Arabidopsis thaliana: one gene and its partner. The protein of the gene in region 1 purifies or fractionates together with the protein of each later gene. This does not show direct contact. Each region holds a gene or a part of one and is shown in the gene's direction. Other genes may lie near its edges.

The links.
Region 2: the proteins of GAUT1 (region 1) and HAP6 purify together in Arabidopsis thaliana (affinity purification with mass spectrometry, with the first as the bait; one study listed by BioGRID). This does not show direct contact.

What each region holds. Positions count from the first base shown.
Region 1 is NC_003074.8:22,619,917-22,626,308, forward strand, and holds GAUT1 (galacturonosyltransferase 1), read left to right. Parts: upstream 1-1,995; 5' UTR 1,996-2,395; intron 2,396-2,480; 5' UTR 2,481-2,482; coding exon 2,483-2,633; intron 2,634-2,960; coding exon 2,961-2,986; intron 2,987-3,085; coding exon 3,086-3,145; intron 3,146-3,235; coding exon 3,236-3,361; intron 3,362-3,450; coding exon 3,451-3,514; intron 3,515-3,591; coding exon 3,592-3,638; intron 3,639-3,752; coding exon 3,753-4,087; intron 4,088-4,181; coding exon 4,182-4,539; intron 4,540-4,649; coding exon 4,650-5,228; intron 5,229-5,322; coding exon 5,323-5,598; 3' UTR 5,599-5,892; downstream 5,893-6,392. Other genes in the region: AGL13 (AGAMOUS-like 13), read right to left, coding at 369-550. UniProt on the Arabidopsis thaliana protein: Involved in pectin biosynthesis. Catalyzes the transfer of galacturonic acid from uridine 5'-diphosphogalacturonic acid onto the pectic polysaccharide homogalacturonan.
Region 2 is NC_003075.7:11,276,691-11,284,424, forward strand, and holds HAP6 (ribophorin II (RPN2) family protein), read left to right. Parts: upstream 1-1,738; 5' UTR 1,739-1,848; intron 1,849-1,940; exon of another isoform or gene 1,941-1,953; 5' UTR 1,954-1,955; coding exon 1,956-2,101; intron 2,102-2,236; coding exon 2,237-2,429; intron 2,430-2,508; coding exon 2,509-2,598; intron 2,599-2,838; coding exon 2,839-2,901; intron 2,902-3,109; coding exon 3,110-3,179; intron 3,180-3,329; coding exon 3,330-3,394; intron 3,395-3,730; coding exon 3,731-3,785; intron 3,786-3,908; coding exon 3,909-4,030; intron 4,031-4,113; coding exon 4,114-4,229; intron 4,230-4,613; coding exon 4,614-4,683; intron 4,684-4,931; coding exon 4,932-5,036; intron 5,037-5,137; coding exon 5,138-5,227; intron 5,228-5,309; coding exon 5,310-5,458; intron 5,459-5,641; coding exon 5,642-5,753; intron 5,754-5,835; coding exon 5,836-5,919; intron 5,920-6,041; coding exon 6,042-6,122; intron 6,123-6,210; coding exon 6,211-6,435; intron 6,436-6,519; coding exon 6,520-6,642; and 4 more. Other genes in the region: AT4G21140 (copper ion-binding protein), read right to left, coding at 801-1,532.

The sequences.
Region 1 (6,392 bases):
AAAACGTATATATGAGGTTTCATGGATCTTAAGGACATACACATATCAAAGCTGGTGATAACAATTAAAACCCAAAATAAAACAAAGAAGTTTTCTTTCAAAAGATTTACCGGATCTAAAAGCTAAACTGACCCATATGTCCGATGGATCCTGAGAGATCGATGGATGGTGATCAACCTTAACTAGTTAGGGTTAGAATAAAAAGACATAACCTTTTTCAGATACCCACAAGACAGAATTTGGTTTCTTGATCTTAAGAACAGACACAAATCAAACATGGATGATCTTAATCATATTACCCATGAAAACCTAGGTTTTCATCATTAGGAAAACCGAATTAATGATCTTGAATGAATGGATATACGTACCCGACATTGCTGAACTCGTAGAGCTTGCCACCGGTGGAGAAGATTATGAGAGAAACCTCTGCATCACAAAGAACAGAGAGTTCGTAGGCTTTCTTGAGCAAACCACTTTTTCTTTTGGAGAAGGTTACTTGTCTAGTGATCTTGTTCTCAATTCTCTTCACTTCCACTTTGCCTCTTCCCATCTCTCACTCGCTCTCTCTCTTCTTTCTACGTTGTTTCTTGTCTTTAATATCTCTCAATGTTGGAAGTTTACATGTACATATCAATCAAAATGAATTACTTTAGTTCTATTGCTGGATATACGTAAAAAAAAAAAGCGTATTTATTAACCCTATAGTTTCTCTTTTTCTTATCAACCTATTTCAACCCTACATACATAGTGGAACCGAGTTTTATCTCAATAGGACAATATCTCATCATAAATTACAAAGTTCTCATTTCAATTACCATGCAAGAAGAATTCACTTTCCGTTTATTAATTATAGCTAGAGTGTAAAATGGTAATGATCTTACTGTTGTTTGACCCAAATGAAAATTCTTTTGGTATATAAAAAATTAATTGATAGGAACAAAACGAAAACTTTCTCCTACCTAGAATTAGAAGTATGGAAATACAGTTGGACCACTGGAAAAATCATCATTATTTCTTTTAATATCAGTATTTGATGACATATTGTTCAAAGTTCAAACTGGCACTCAAGAAAAATTGATATTCTTTTTTGATATGCAACAGTTGGACCAAACCTTTTTACTTAATAAAGTTTACATCTATTGTGATTCTTCAAACTAACACTTATATAAAACTGTTTTTTTTTTGTTCAATGGCTATGATTTCGTCAAGGTTAATTTGTACATGTAAACAATTAAACGTTCATCCACTAAATGTTGTTCAACCTGAACCGATGTGGAGTCAGTAAAAAACATATAAGACATCGACCCTAATGACAAAAAACAGAGTGTAACTATATTACGTGTGTGAAGTTTATTACTAGTTCGGGAAGTTTTAATTGGTCAAAAGGCGCAGGAAGGTTCATCATTTGTTGTTGAAAAGTTGCATTCCTTTTCAAAAGAAAAAAAAGTAAGGTTTTTATGAAAAAGCCTTTCAAGAGAAAACAAATTTTGGTTATATCTTATTTATATGGTTTGACAACTGAATCAAACATTTACCAAGGTTGTATTTGATCATTATTACTAAAAATAAAATCAGCTAAAAAAAAACCATTACTAGGTCTAGTTACAGTGTTACACTGTATTGTAAATCATTTAGTAATAAACCAAACAAATTACTATCATCATTTTTAATTTGTGTAGTCATTACATACATGCAAAATTGTAAATTAAATTATAAAATCATGCCATACTATACTGCTAGATGAAAATTGAATTGTCATATCAAATTAAAAATTAATGTATTTTCATGAAAACTGGAAAAAAAAAACTATTAAATTAGAAAGGCGAAATTCAACGTGACGCATCTATCTATATAGGCTTGGGCTTATAATATATACAAAAGCCCAGTTAATTATTAATGGGTCGAAGTCGAAACTTGAAAGCAAGCAGTGTCATCGTTCTATTTATCATCAGCCCAAAAAAGGAAGAAAAAACAAATCAATTTTATGTTCGTTTGGTATAATATCGATTTTAATTTTAACCAAGTAAACCGGATAGGAGGAGATTCGTAAATTGTAATCGATAAAAGAGATCTGTGTCAAAAGTACGCGTGAGGTTCTCTCTTCTCTGCAAACAAAAATCCTGGCGTTGATAGCGATTGGTTAATTGTCGGTGAATCAACGTTTTTCTGTTACACATATCAATCAATCATCATCCTCTTCATACTCTCTTCTTCTTCTTCATCGTAATCATTAGCTTCAATTCCGAGTTTTCTCTTCGTCGCCGTTGTGCTAGAGTTTTGTCAGATCTCGCCGGGAAATTAGCAATGGCGTTTTAGTCTGTTTACCTGTGAAGCTTTTGCGTAAACGCTGGATTCTTCTCAAATCTCTCTCACCTGATCTCTTATTAGATTCCGAGTATGATTTGTTTCTCTCCTTCATTATATTCGGGTTGCTTCCACGATTTCGTTGCTTGATTTAGTTTTTTTTTTGAATTTGATAGGGATGGCGCTAAAGCGAGGGCTATCTGGAGTTAACCGGATTAGAGGAAGTGGTGGTGGATCTCGATCTGTGCTTGTGCTTCTCATATTTTTCTGTGTTTTTGCACCTCTTTGCTTCTTTGTTGGCCGAGGAGTGTATATCGATTCCTCAAATGGTATGCATATATTGCTTATCTTTCTATATACTAATTTGCAGATTCATGTATAGAGATTCAGAAATTCTATTAATGATTGAGAACATTAGCATAGTTTTACCACTCTTTAGTTTTCAGCCTTTACTATCTCAATTTTAAGTTACTTTTAGCTTGATGTGACACTGATGATATTCAGACAATTGCTATTTTTCTAGACTGGCAAAATTGGTTCTTTGCTATTTTACTATCGAGCTTTGGTTTCAAGGATTAGTGTCTCTCGATTTTGTGTTACATATATAATTTATCTGCGAATTGTCCATCTGATGGAGCTTACTTTCATTACTGCAGATTATTCAATTGTTTCTGTGAAGCAGGTATGTCGGCTTAAACTCTATCAAATTATCTACTTGTATGTTTTGACAGAAGTAAGAATGTTGTTTGATTGGACTGTTTTTTTTTGTTTTTTTTGGCAGAATCTTGACTGGAGAGAACGTTTAGCAATGCAATCTGTTAGATCTCTTTTCTCGAAAGAGGTAGTTTAAATCTTTGAAACTTTGCTTCGATTTATTGTCTTTGTCAGTTTTTCTGAGACTGGATAGTTTCTTACTAAATTTGTTGTCCAGATACTAGATGTTATAGCAACCAGCACAGCTGATTTGGGTCCTCTTAGCCTTGATTCTTTTAAGAAAAACAATTTGTCTGCATCATGGCGGGGAACCGGAGTAGACCCCTCCTTTAGACATTCTGAGGTGTGGTTTAAGTGTCTCATTTCTTTTCTAAGCTTCTATTCTCAATGATGTTTTCTCATAGTTTTCATCTTTTGCTGTACTTGAGGCAGAATCCAGCAACTCCTGATGTCAAATCTAATAACCTGAATGAAAAACGTGACAGCATTTCAAAAGGTAGTGGCTTTTAATTTAAGTGGCATCTCTGATTTGACGTTTTCCATCTCTGATTCTTCTATATATTGCTGATGCAGATAGTATCCATCAGAAAGTTGAGACACCTACAAAGATTCACAGAAGGGTAACTATTATTTATTAAAGTTCAATGTCATGATGCATCAAATACTCTTTAGGGACTTCTTGTGTCTTTAGTATTTCATTATCAACATTTTTTTTATCCATCTTGACATTTCAGCAACTAAGAGAGAAAAGGCGTGAGATGCGGGCAAATGAGTTAGTTCAGCACAATGATGACACGATTTTGAAACTCGAAAATGCTGCCATTGAACGCTCTAAGTCTGTTGATTCTGCAGTCCTTGGTAAATACAGTATTTGGAGAAGAGAAAATGAGAATGACAACTCTGATTCAAATATACGCTTGATGCGGGATCAAGTAATAATGGCTAGAGTCTATAGTGGGATTGCAAAATTGAAAAACAAGAACGATTTGTTACAAGAACTCCAGGCCCGACTTAAGGACAGCCAACGGGTTTTGGGGGAAGCAACATCTGATGCTGATCTTCCTCGGAGGTAAATTACTCCTTTTGGTTTCTACTACTTGCCTTTTTTCGACTGCTTGTGTACTTCTTAAAGTAACATGCTCTCTAAATTACTTTTCATATAGTGCGCATGAGAAACTCAGAGCCATGGGTCAAGTCTTGGCTAAAGCTAAGATGCAGTTATATGACTGCAAGCTGGTTACTGGAAAGCTGAGAGCAATGCTTCAGACTGCCGACGAACAAGTGAGGAGCTTAAAGAAGCAGAGTACTTTTCTGGCTCAGTTAGCAGCAAAAACCATTCCAAATCCTATCCATTGCCTATCAATGCGCTTGACTATCGATTACTATCTTCTGTCTCCGGAGAAAAGAAAATTCCCTCGGAGTGAAAACCTAGAAAACCCTAATCTTTATCATTATGCCCTCTTTTCCGACAATGTATTAGCTGCATCAGTAGTTGTTAACTCAACCATCATGAATGCCAAGGTAAAATCATTAGCTCTTATCACTTGATTCGTCCTAATATCTGTATGTTTAATTTTAGATACGCATTGCAGAGCTGAAATTAAAAATGTCTTTATTCCCTATATGTGCAGGATCCTTCTAAGCATGTTTTTCACCTTGTCACGGATAAACTCAATTTCGGAGCAATGAACATGTGGTTCCTCCTAAACCCACCCGGAAAGGCAACCATACATGTGGAAAACGTCGATGAGTTTAAGTGGCTCAATTCATCTTACTGTCCTGTCCTTCGTCAGCTTGAATCTGCAGCAATGAGAGAGTACTATTTTAAAGCAGACCATCCAACTTCAGGCTCTTCGAATCTAAAATACAGAAACCCAAAGTATCTATCCATGTTGAATCACTTGAGATTCTACCTCCCTGAGGTTTATCCCAAGCTGAACAAAATCCTCTTCCTGGACGATGACATCATTGTTCAGAAAGACTTGACTCCACTCTGGGAAGTTAACCTGAACGGCAAAGTCAACGGTGCAGTCGAAACCTGTGGGGAAAGTTTCCACAGATTCGACAAGTATCTCAACTTTTCGAATCCTCACATTGCGAGGAACTTCAATCCAAATGCTTGTGGATGGGCTTATGGAATGAACATGTTCGACCTAAAGGAATGGAAGAAGAGAGACATCACTGGTATATACCACAAGTGGCAAAACATGGTAAATAACTCTTTAATTCTTTGCAACAAATAGTCTAATGATGGTTTATTATTTTATTTATTGTGGTTTGCTCATTTTGGCTTGTGTTGTTTAGAATGAGAACAGGACACTATGGAAGCTAGGGACATTGCCACCAGGATTAATAACATTCTACGGATTAACACATCCCTTAAACAAGGCGTGGCATGTGCTGGGACTTGGATATAACCCGAGTATCGACAAGAAGGACATTGAGAATGCAGCAGTGGTTCACTATAACGGGAACATGAAACCATGGTTGGAGTTGGCAATGTCCAAATATCGGCCGTATTGGACCAAGTACATCAAGTTTGATCACCCATATCTTCGTCGTTGCAACCTTCATGAATAAAATCAAATCTTTGTTAGATGATTTGAGGTAATTACTTCTAATGTTCTGTTGTTCCCATTCCATTGCTCTTTATTCCACACATTGTTAATTGTTTATTCATATCGTTTTTTAGTCATTCTTTTCTTCTCTTCTTCTTTCGGGTTAAAAACACTTATGTTATTTTTTGAGTTTTTCTAATGATAGTAATATGTTTCTGGAGATTCTCTTGATGGTCTTGTGAAAAAATTGAAGAACACATACTATCTCTCTATTTACTATATACTGTAAGTCAAAATAATAATCCAATTTTTTGTTGATGTGTCATTAATAAATAAATAACTATCATTAATAATTGGATTGGTTACACATTTTAAATTTTATTTATGTTTGGATATCCAATTTTTTTTTTTCCATTGCTAATTTAATTGTTATCATTATGATGTTCATATTCTTTTCTTGTATTGGATCATATTGTATATCTTTATTTTCCAATTGTAAATATTCAAAATAATATATTTTCTTGGAAAAAAATCTATTGTGGTTTCTCTTTTTTTATATAAGCAACTATTTAATGGTAATATGACATATAATAATAATTTAAAAAATTAGATAGTATTTAGATTTTAGACTATTAGTGGAAAATTTTACAAAATAAATAAATCCCAACTATGATAGAAACCCAAATTGAGTGAAAATAGAAGATGGGCTTTAAATCGGACCGACGCTTATTGCTTACTAATACAAATCGCCCTTCCTTAAGGTCTGAAGACGAAACGAAGAACAAACACTGAAACAAAAGAGAAAAATCCCAAAGC
Region 2 (7,734 bases), on another chromosome or scaffold:
TAGACTAGCTACCTCAGCTTTCAAACTATGATGATCCTTGGAGAATCGTGGTCTTTGTAGCTTTAGGACTCTTGCCATTGCACTCTACTGGACCGGGTAACAAGATGCAGAAAATGATATGGAGAGCTTGAAGAAAATACCCAGAAACTATGCATTTGAATGAAGAAGCACAAGCAGATGCAGGACATCCTTTCCTACATAACATTCTGCTGAACTTCCAACACAAAGCTCACAGAGGACAAACCTCAACTCCCATATTGATTAAACAGTTGTAATCTTGGTGCAGAACTGTAGATTCCAAGATAGTCTGCAGTTCTTATCTAGGAATATGGTTTTGGTAAGGATAAAAAGTTATACCAAGTTTGAGCTGATCATGACCCAGTGGCCTTCCTAAAGGTTAGAATATATGAAGAGACAAATCCTAAATGTATGAGTGTACAGTGTTCATACACATAATACTGAAAAATGAAGATTTGAAAGAAGTATGCAAACAGGCAAACACGATCAAGGAAAGAGATACAAAAGAGGTTTAACAAGATTCCATTTACATCCTAGACAACTTCACCTCTCAGAAGGCCGATATGAAACAATATAAAGTAGAAAAAGATTAAACTTTCAAGCTTCAACTAATATTCTATCATATAGTAGCAACTGCCAGTGACCATTTTATTTCAAGTAGATCACAAAAATAAAGACAAATGTCTCAAAGTTATATCCATTGATCGAAATCCAATCAACACAACTAATAAAACAAGAGAAAACCAATGACGCAAAGACAAATTCCTCTAACCTTAACAAGATCATCTCAACTTCTCTTTACCAGAGCTCTTCCTAGCCGCAGCATTCATAATCCTCTCCAAATACCCTTCAATAGGTGGAGTAAGCGTAGCCGTACCTCGACTCACCGGAAACGGAGTCAAATCACGCACTAAAGCCGCCTTCTTCAAATTCTCCGGCAATGCCTCAACCGCAGCGTTCCTCATCTTCATCAAACTAATCTCCGCTACACGTCTCGCTCTATGCTCTCTCATAAGCACTCTACTATACTCTTTCGCAAGTCTAATCCCATCCTCCACTGTAACCTTATACTTTGGTAACTCATCTTCCGTAAAAATCCCTAACGAAATGTAATCCAATCCTGGAGTCCCAATCCTCATCGGCGCAGTAGTAACTCCCATCGTAAAGGATCCACCTTTCTTCTGAAAATCAATCTCTTTTTGCCTCGCTTTACTGATTAGCCCTAGCTTCTCTCGTCTCGCTTCTCGCTCTCTTTCCTTAGGTCTCAGGTAACGAACAGGACAAGGAGCGTTTATGCATTGATCTGAGATTCTTCCTTTTCCCTTATCCACCTCATCACCACCTCTGCCACCGCCGTTTCCACCGCCTTTTTTGATTGTGAGTTTGTTGCGTTTCAATGATTGGCCTGTCTTCAGCTTCGATTTTCCTTTGGGGGTTCCACTAGCGTAACATTTCTGGAGAAGATTGTAACTCACTGAGTCAATTATAGGTTTTGGTCTCGCGAATCTGATCATTTTCAGATTCTGATTTCCTCAGAGCTCTCTCTGTTTGAAATGAAAATGGTGATTGAAGTTGATCTGCAAGGTTTAGGGTTTCAAGGTACGCCGTCGTTTCATGAAGTGTAATTTAAGTTCAAATCGAGGGTAAATCGGTAATATCAGGTAGTGTCATCAAACTCACACTCATTTTTTAGCCTTCTCTCTGGTTCGTCGTCTGGTTCAAAAGCTATAGATCGATCCTAGGCTTACCTCAAACCTCAGTCTCCGTTGACTACTGAGACTCGTCGACCTCTGATCCGCTTCTTCGACTATACGGATCTACTTCCGATCTGTAAGAAGCTTAAATCTTCGGTTGATTTTGGAATCCATCCGTCGTAGATGTGTAATTGTATTGATTTGGATGAGTTTATCTGTTTTTTTGAGTTTTCTTATGCAGTGATGATGGCCGGAGGTAACGTACGGTTTCTGGTTTTGATACTCGCCGTAGCAATTTGCGGTGCTGCTTCTGTTTTCCAGCCGATCTCAGACTCTCACCGATCTGCGGCTCTGGATGTCTTCGTACCAGTCGATGGATCATACAAAAGGTTGGTTTCTCTATCTTAAGTCGGCATTGCTTTGATGTAGGGGTTTTAACCACATTTCACCGATTACATATTGGTTGCTCGTTAATGTTCATGAATGGTTTTTGTACGGACTAATCTGATTTTTATTACTATCAGCTTGGAGGAGGCATATGAAGCATTAAAGACTTTGGAGATTCTTGGAATTGATAAAAAGTCTGATCTTAGCTCAAAGACTTGTGAGAATGTGGTTAAAGTTCTTCAGTCGTCTTCTTCTACTCTTAAGGATGCATTTTATGCGTTAAACGTTAATGGGATTCTAAAATGTAAAATTGGTGAAGCTGGTCCTAAGGTAAACAATTGTCTCCTCTCAGTATCATAATTTTAACTATTAAGCGGCTAAAATAACCTTATCTTTTCCTCTTTTGAAGGACATTGTTTCTCAACTTCAAGCTGGTGTTAAAGATGCGAAGCTATTGCTTGATTTCTATTATTCTGTCAGAGGCTTGGTGCTGGCTAAGGTAAATACGAGTTAAAACTTTTGGTGGACATCTTGAGTGAGATTGACTACACCCTTTTTCCATAGAGTATTTCTAGGAGAGTTTTCTTAGTTTTTCGTGCATTATGTTGAAGTATGAAAATGTTTTGGCAGAAGGTACCTGTGATCGTGATTATTTTATTTTATTCAACTCCATAGCTTTGGCTTCCTGACTTTTCTTTTTCCTGGCTTCAAGTTTGACCTCACTGTTCCATGAATGCAGGAGCAATTTCCTGGAACTCATATAAGTCTTGGAGATGCCGAAGCCATTTTCCGTTCCATCAAGGTTTGAACTTGTTTAGCTGACCTTCAATTTTGTTGTTGTTGAACTATCAGATGTGACATTCATACACTGTCTTTTTGGACTATCAATTATAGACTCTGGTAGAAGTATATATATATTTTCGATATGTTACCAAAACTCAGTTACTATATTAATACTACTTAGATTGTTTTCCGGGTATTATTTGGCTGATATAGTGCATTTGTATCAGTCTCTTAGCCAGAGTGATGGAAGATGGCGCTACAGCTCCAACAATCCCGAATCAAGCACTTTTGCTGCTGGTTAGTAGTACATATTGGATTAACCCTTACCTAACGTTAATGATGAGCCTTTTAGATTATGTATCCCTTCCTTTCTTGCTTCAGCTTGTTCACTTCTTTTGCTCTTTGTTATTTCACTCATTCTTCTCAACATGCGATTTTTTTTCTCAGGCTTAGCCTATGAAACGCTTGCTGGAGTGATTTCATTAGCACCTTCAGAGTTTGATCCATCTTTGGTAAGTGAGATGTTTAATCCACTATACTTCTGATTTCCTGAGAATATATTTTGATGAGATATCACTACGATATGTTGGTTTAGTGATGATCTACTTTTGCTTCTGGAATCTCTAAGTAACTAAAATAAAGAGTTTTGTTTTGATAATTATAAATTCCAAATCTTAGCTACAGGGAATTGTGATTTGATAATCACAAAGAAAGATTCGTGTTTTGATAATTATGCATGTCCACCTGACTTCTCATTTGGTTATTCTGGTGGTTTCTTTTTCATTTTATCTGGTAGTTTATTAATCTTGGTTATGTAATGATCGTCATTCATGTTTGTCCTCTGTTAGATCCAGTCGGTGAAGACGGGTATCCTGAAGCTTTCTGACAGTATCCAAAAATATGGTATGCAGTAAATTACTTGCTATCCTATGTATTGCATGTTATATTCTCTTCACTCACTTCATAGTTTTTGCCAGCTTGGGTTTTGCATATGTGGGCTTTGAATTATTATTTTTGGTCTTTTAGATGATGGGACATTTTATTTTGATGAGAAGTCTGTTGATGCAAGTCAAGGCCCGATCTCAACAACTGCATCAGTTATTAGAGGGCTCACGTCATTTGCAGCTTCAGAATCCACAGGATTGAACGTATGTAATACCCATGTTTTCATGTATCCTATTCTGACAAATGTGTTGATAGTTGACCTTCGCATTCCCATTATCTCATGCAGCTTCCAGGTGATAAGATAGTTGGTCTGGCCAAATTCTTTCTGGGTGTTGGAATTCCTGGTGATGCCAAGGACTTCTTCAACCAAATAGATGCACTAGCTTGTTTGGAAGACAACAAGTAATACTACTTTCATGCCCCTTTGTGCATTTTCTTTGTGCATTTTCTTATTAGTTTATTTCAGTACACATCTTAGAATCATTTCAGTAACCTTGAATTGAGTGGTGTGAAAGACATAAGAGTTACAAGGACTTACTGTTACTTCCATTCTTTTGTGTTAAAGTAAAGTTGCTTATGAAAGAGAAAAACTGTTTCTCTTTACATTGTTAGAATTTTGAACAAAATGATTACCGAAGAAATGATATCTGTAGGGAAAGAGTAGAAGTTTAAAACTTTGAACACTTGTGAAATTTCAACCACTTGCTCATTTATTATGGTCTAGCTGAAACTTTATCATTCTATGGGAACAATAATTTGCTCTATGGTCATTCTCTATCATTTCAGGTTTTCTGTTCCACTCATCTTGTCTCTTCCATCCACTGTCATTTCATTGACAAAGAAAGAGCCTCTGAAGGTACCCATTCATAAGCTTGCATCAAGATTTGACTTCTAGTAGTGAAAGTCTTAACTTTGGACTTTCTGGCTATAACGGTTGGATGTTGGATTCTAGCTGGTATTTGGTTTAGAGATTGCTCAGGCTCATAGCATTGCATCTTTTTTGTAGAGATCTCTTATCTATTTGATAATGACTCATTTTAGTTGACCCTTCATCCATTACATTTTTTCTTATTTTAGATTTTTTTTCTCTTTATCTGGAACTAGGTTAAAGTTAGCACTGTACTGGGTTCGAAGGCACCAGCTCTTAGTGTGAAGCTTACACAAGCTCTAAGTTCTAAGTCAGTGGATTCATCTGTAATTAATAACCAGGTAAATAATGTATCTCTTACTGTTTGAGCTTGCAATAGAAATGTTCCTTATTCTCTGCATTAGGCCGGTTTACATTTTTCCATTACATTTTTGGGGTACAGGAGCTTAAGTTTGACGCTGACAGTGCAACGTACTTCCTGGACTCCTTTCCCAAGAACTTTGACATTGGAAAATATACTTTTGTATTTAAGGTATTGCACTTCTTTGGTTTTACTACACCCAAGACTTCATATAAATGTATGATGACAACATGATAAGCTTCGTTTTCTGCAGATTGTGCTGGATGAATCAGCACATGAGAAAGTATACATAACTGAAGCTCAAACAAAAGTGCCTATAGCTGCCACAGGAGCTATTAGCATTGAAAATGCAGAAATTGCTGTACTTGACAGTGACATTGGAAGCGTTGAATCTCAGAAAAAGTATGTCACCTGTATTGTTGATGAACAACTTCCTTTTTTGCTTATTTTGATTGATTGCTAATTGCTTAACCATTTTTCTTAGGAAACTTGTACCATTATTGCTTACAATATATATTTCAAACTTTTTGTTGTTGTGCTTAGTGTCTTCTTTTTGTTTATTGGTTCTCTCTGTAACATTTGTAGGCTAGATTTAACTAAAGATGGAGCGGTATCATTATCAGCAAACCACCTTCAAAAGCTACGCCTGTCATTCCAGTTAACTACTCCACTTGGCAATGCGTTTAAGCCACACCAGGTTTGTTCATTCTTGATTTTTCGCTTCATCAATGGTTATATTCTGTTCTATTCACTTTCTTGACTTGCTTACTTCCATGCAGGCATTTTTCAAGCTGAAACATGAGTCACAGGTCGAGCATATCTTTCTCGTGAAAACTTCTGGAAAGAAGTCTGAATTAGTTCTAGTTAAGTTCCTTCAACTTCATTTAAAATTGCTTTTGCAAAAAAAGTTTAATGATCAAGTTTGGTGAAATTAATGACGTCCTAAATACAATATTAATGGTTAATGTTATTTTCTTACCTTCAGGATTTTCTTGGATTGGTTGAGAAGCTCTACTACCTCTCTGGTAAATATGAGATACAGCTAACCATTGGAGATGCTTCTATGGTAAGTACTTTACTTTCAGGTCCAATGCAGTTGATGATTTATGTCTTCTGAGATTTGAACAGTGTTATTTTCCTTTCTCTTTTCCCAGGAGAACTCTTTACTGAGTAATATTGGTCACATTGAACTAGACCTACCAGAGCGTCCAGAGAAGGCGACTCGTCCTCCTCTACAGTCTACTGAGCCTTACTCAAGATATGGGCCAAAAGCTGAAATATCACACATATTCAGGATTCCTGAAAAGCTTCCAGCAAAGCAGCTCTCACTAGTTTTCTTGGGTGTTATCGTTCTCCCATTCATCGGTTTCCTGATTGGGGTCAGTCTCCCTTTGCTTGTAAATAGTATCCGAAAAACATCATCACATTTCTTTCACTACTCATATATATTTTTTATGTTTCAGCTTACGCGGTTGGGAGTGAACATAAAGAGCTTCCCATCGTCGACTGGATCTGCAATATCCGCTTTACTTTTCCACTGCGGAATTGGAGCTGTTTTGCTTCTATATGTGCTATTCTGGTTGAAGGCAAGTTTTCATAACCGATTATTGTTTGTTTGATCTACAGTTGAATCATTGCATCAAATCACAATTTCTTTGTTTTGTTTGTTTGCATTCTACAGTTGAATCATTGCATCAAATCACAATTTCTTTGTTTTGTTTGTTTGCATTCTACAGTTGGATCTATTCACGACTCTCAAGGCACTTTCTTTGTTGGGAGTGTTTCTGTTGTTCGTGGGACACAGAACACTATCTCAACTTGCATCAGCATCAAACAAGTTGAAATCTGCTTGAAGAAGAAGAACTCACTATGAAGGATCTTTTTTTGGTTTATGCGTATTTTCAGTTTTGTAGTATTGCTTATAGATTATGGTGATAGACAAATTCAAAAGAAGTTCAGAGTTTACATACTCTCTCAGTTTAGTCTTAAAAAGTAATCAAGAGTCTCTTTCCTTAGCTTTTTTGTTGAACCAAATCAACTAAGATAATGATTAGCTCATGATTAGATCACATGAGTTTCTTAATTATTCACACTTTATGAGTGTTTGTGGAAAGTTAAAAGGTCTAACAAAATTTTGAAATAGGCTGGCCATAAAATCGAAATGAAATTTTATATATAAAATCAAACCGAATTTCATTCTAGTCAAAATAGAAATAAATGCTGATAAAAATGTAGAAATTACTTTGGGTAGAAACGAGTCAACGAAGGAAATGTATTTGGTATTTGACCCTTAACATGGCAATGGCAACGTTACAACTTTTTTTTTTTTTTTTTTTTCTTGCATCGTTACAACTTCACAAAACTTTACAGTTGATTGGAAAATTAAATTTTAGAAGAAAAAGCACGTAGTTGTCTTTTCAGACAATTATTTGTTCATCTTGAATTTGTGTCCCAAGAACATATCTCTCTCTCTCTCTCTCCTCACCTTGGTAAGAACGTCCAATCCAATCTATAAATCTCCTTGATGGAATTTCCGTACATATTACTTGTTCCTTTCTGATCTCTTCTTCATCGGTTTTATGTTTCATCGAGTTTGAATATTTCTTTGTAAGTCTTTTCCTGTCGGTTATGTTTTCGTCGTTGAAATGGTTTCAGGAATTAACAAAGATCAGATTTTT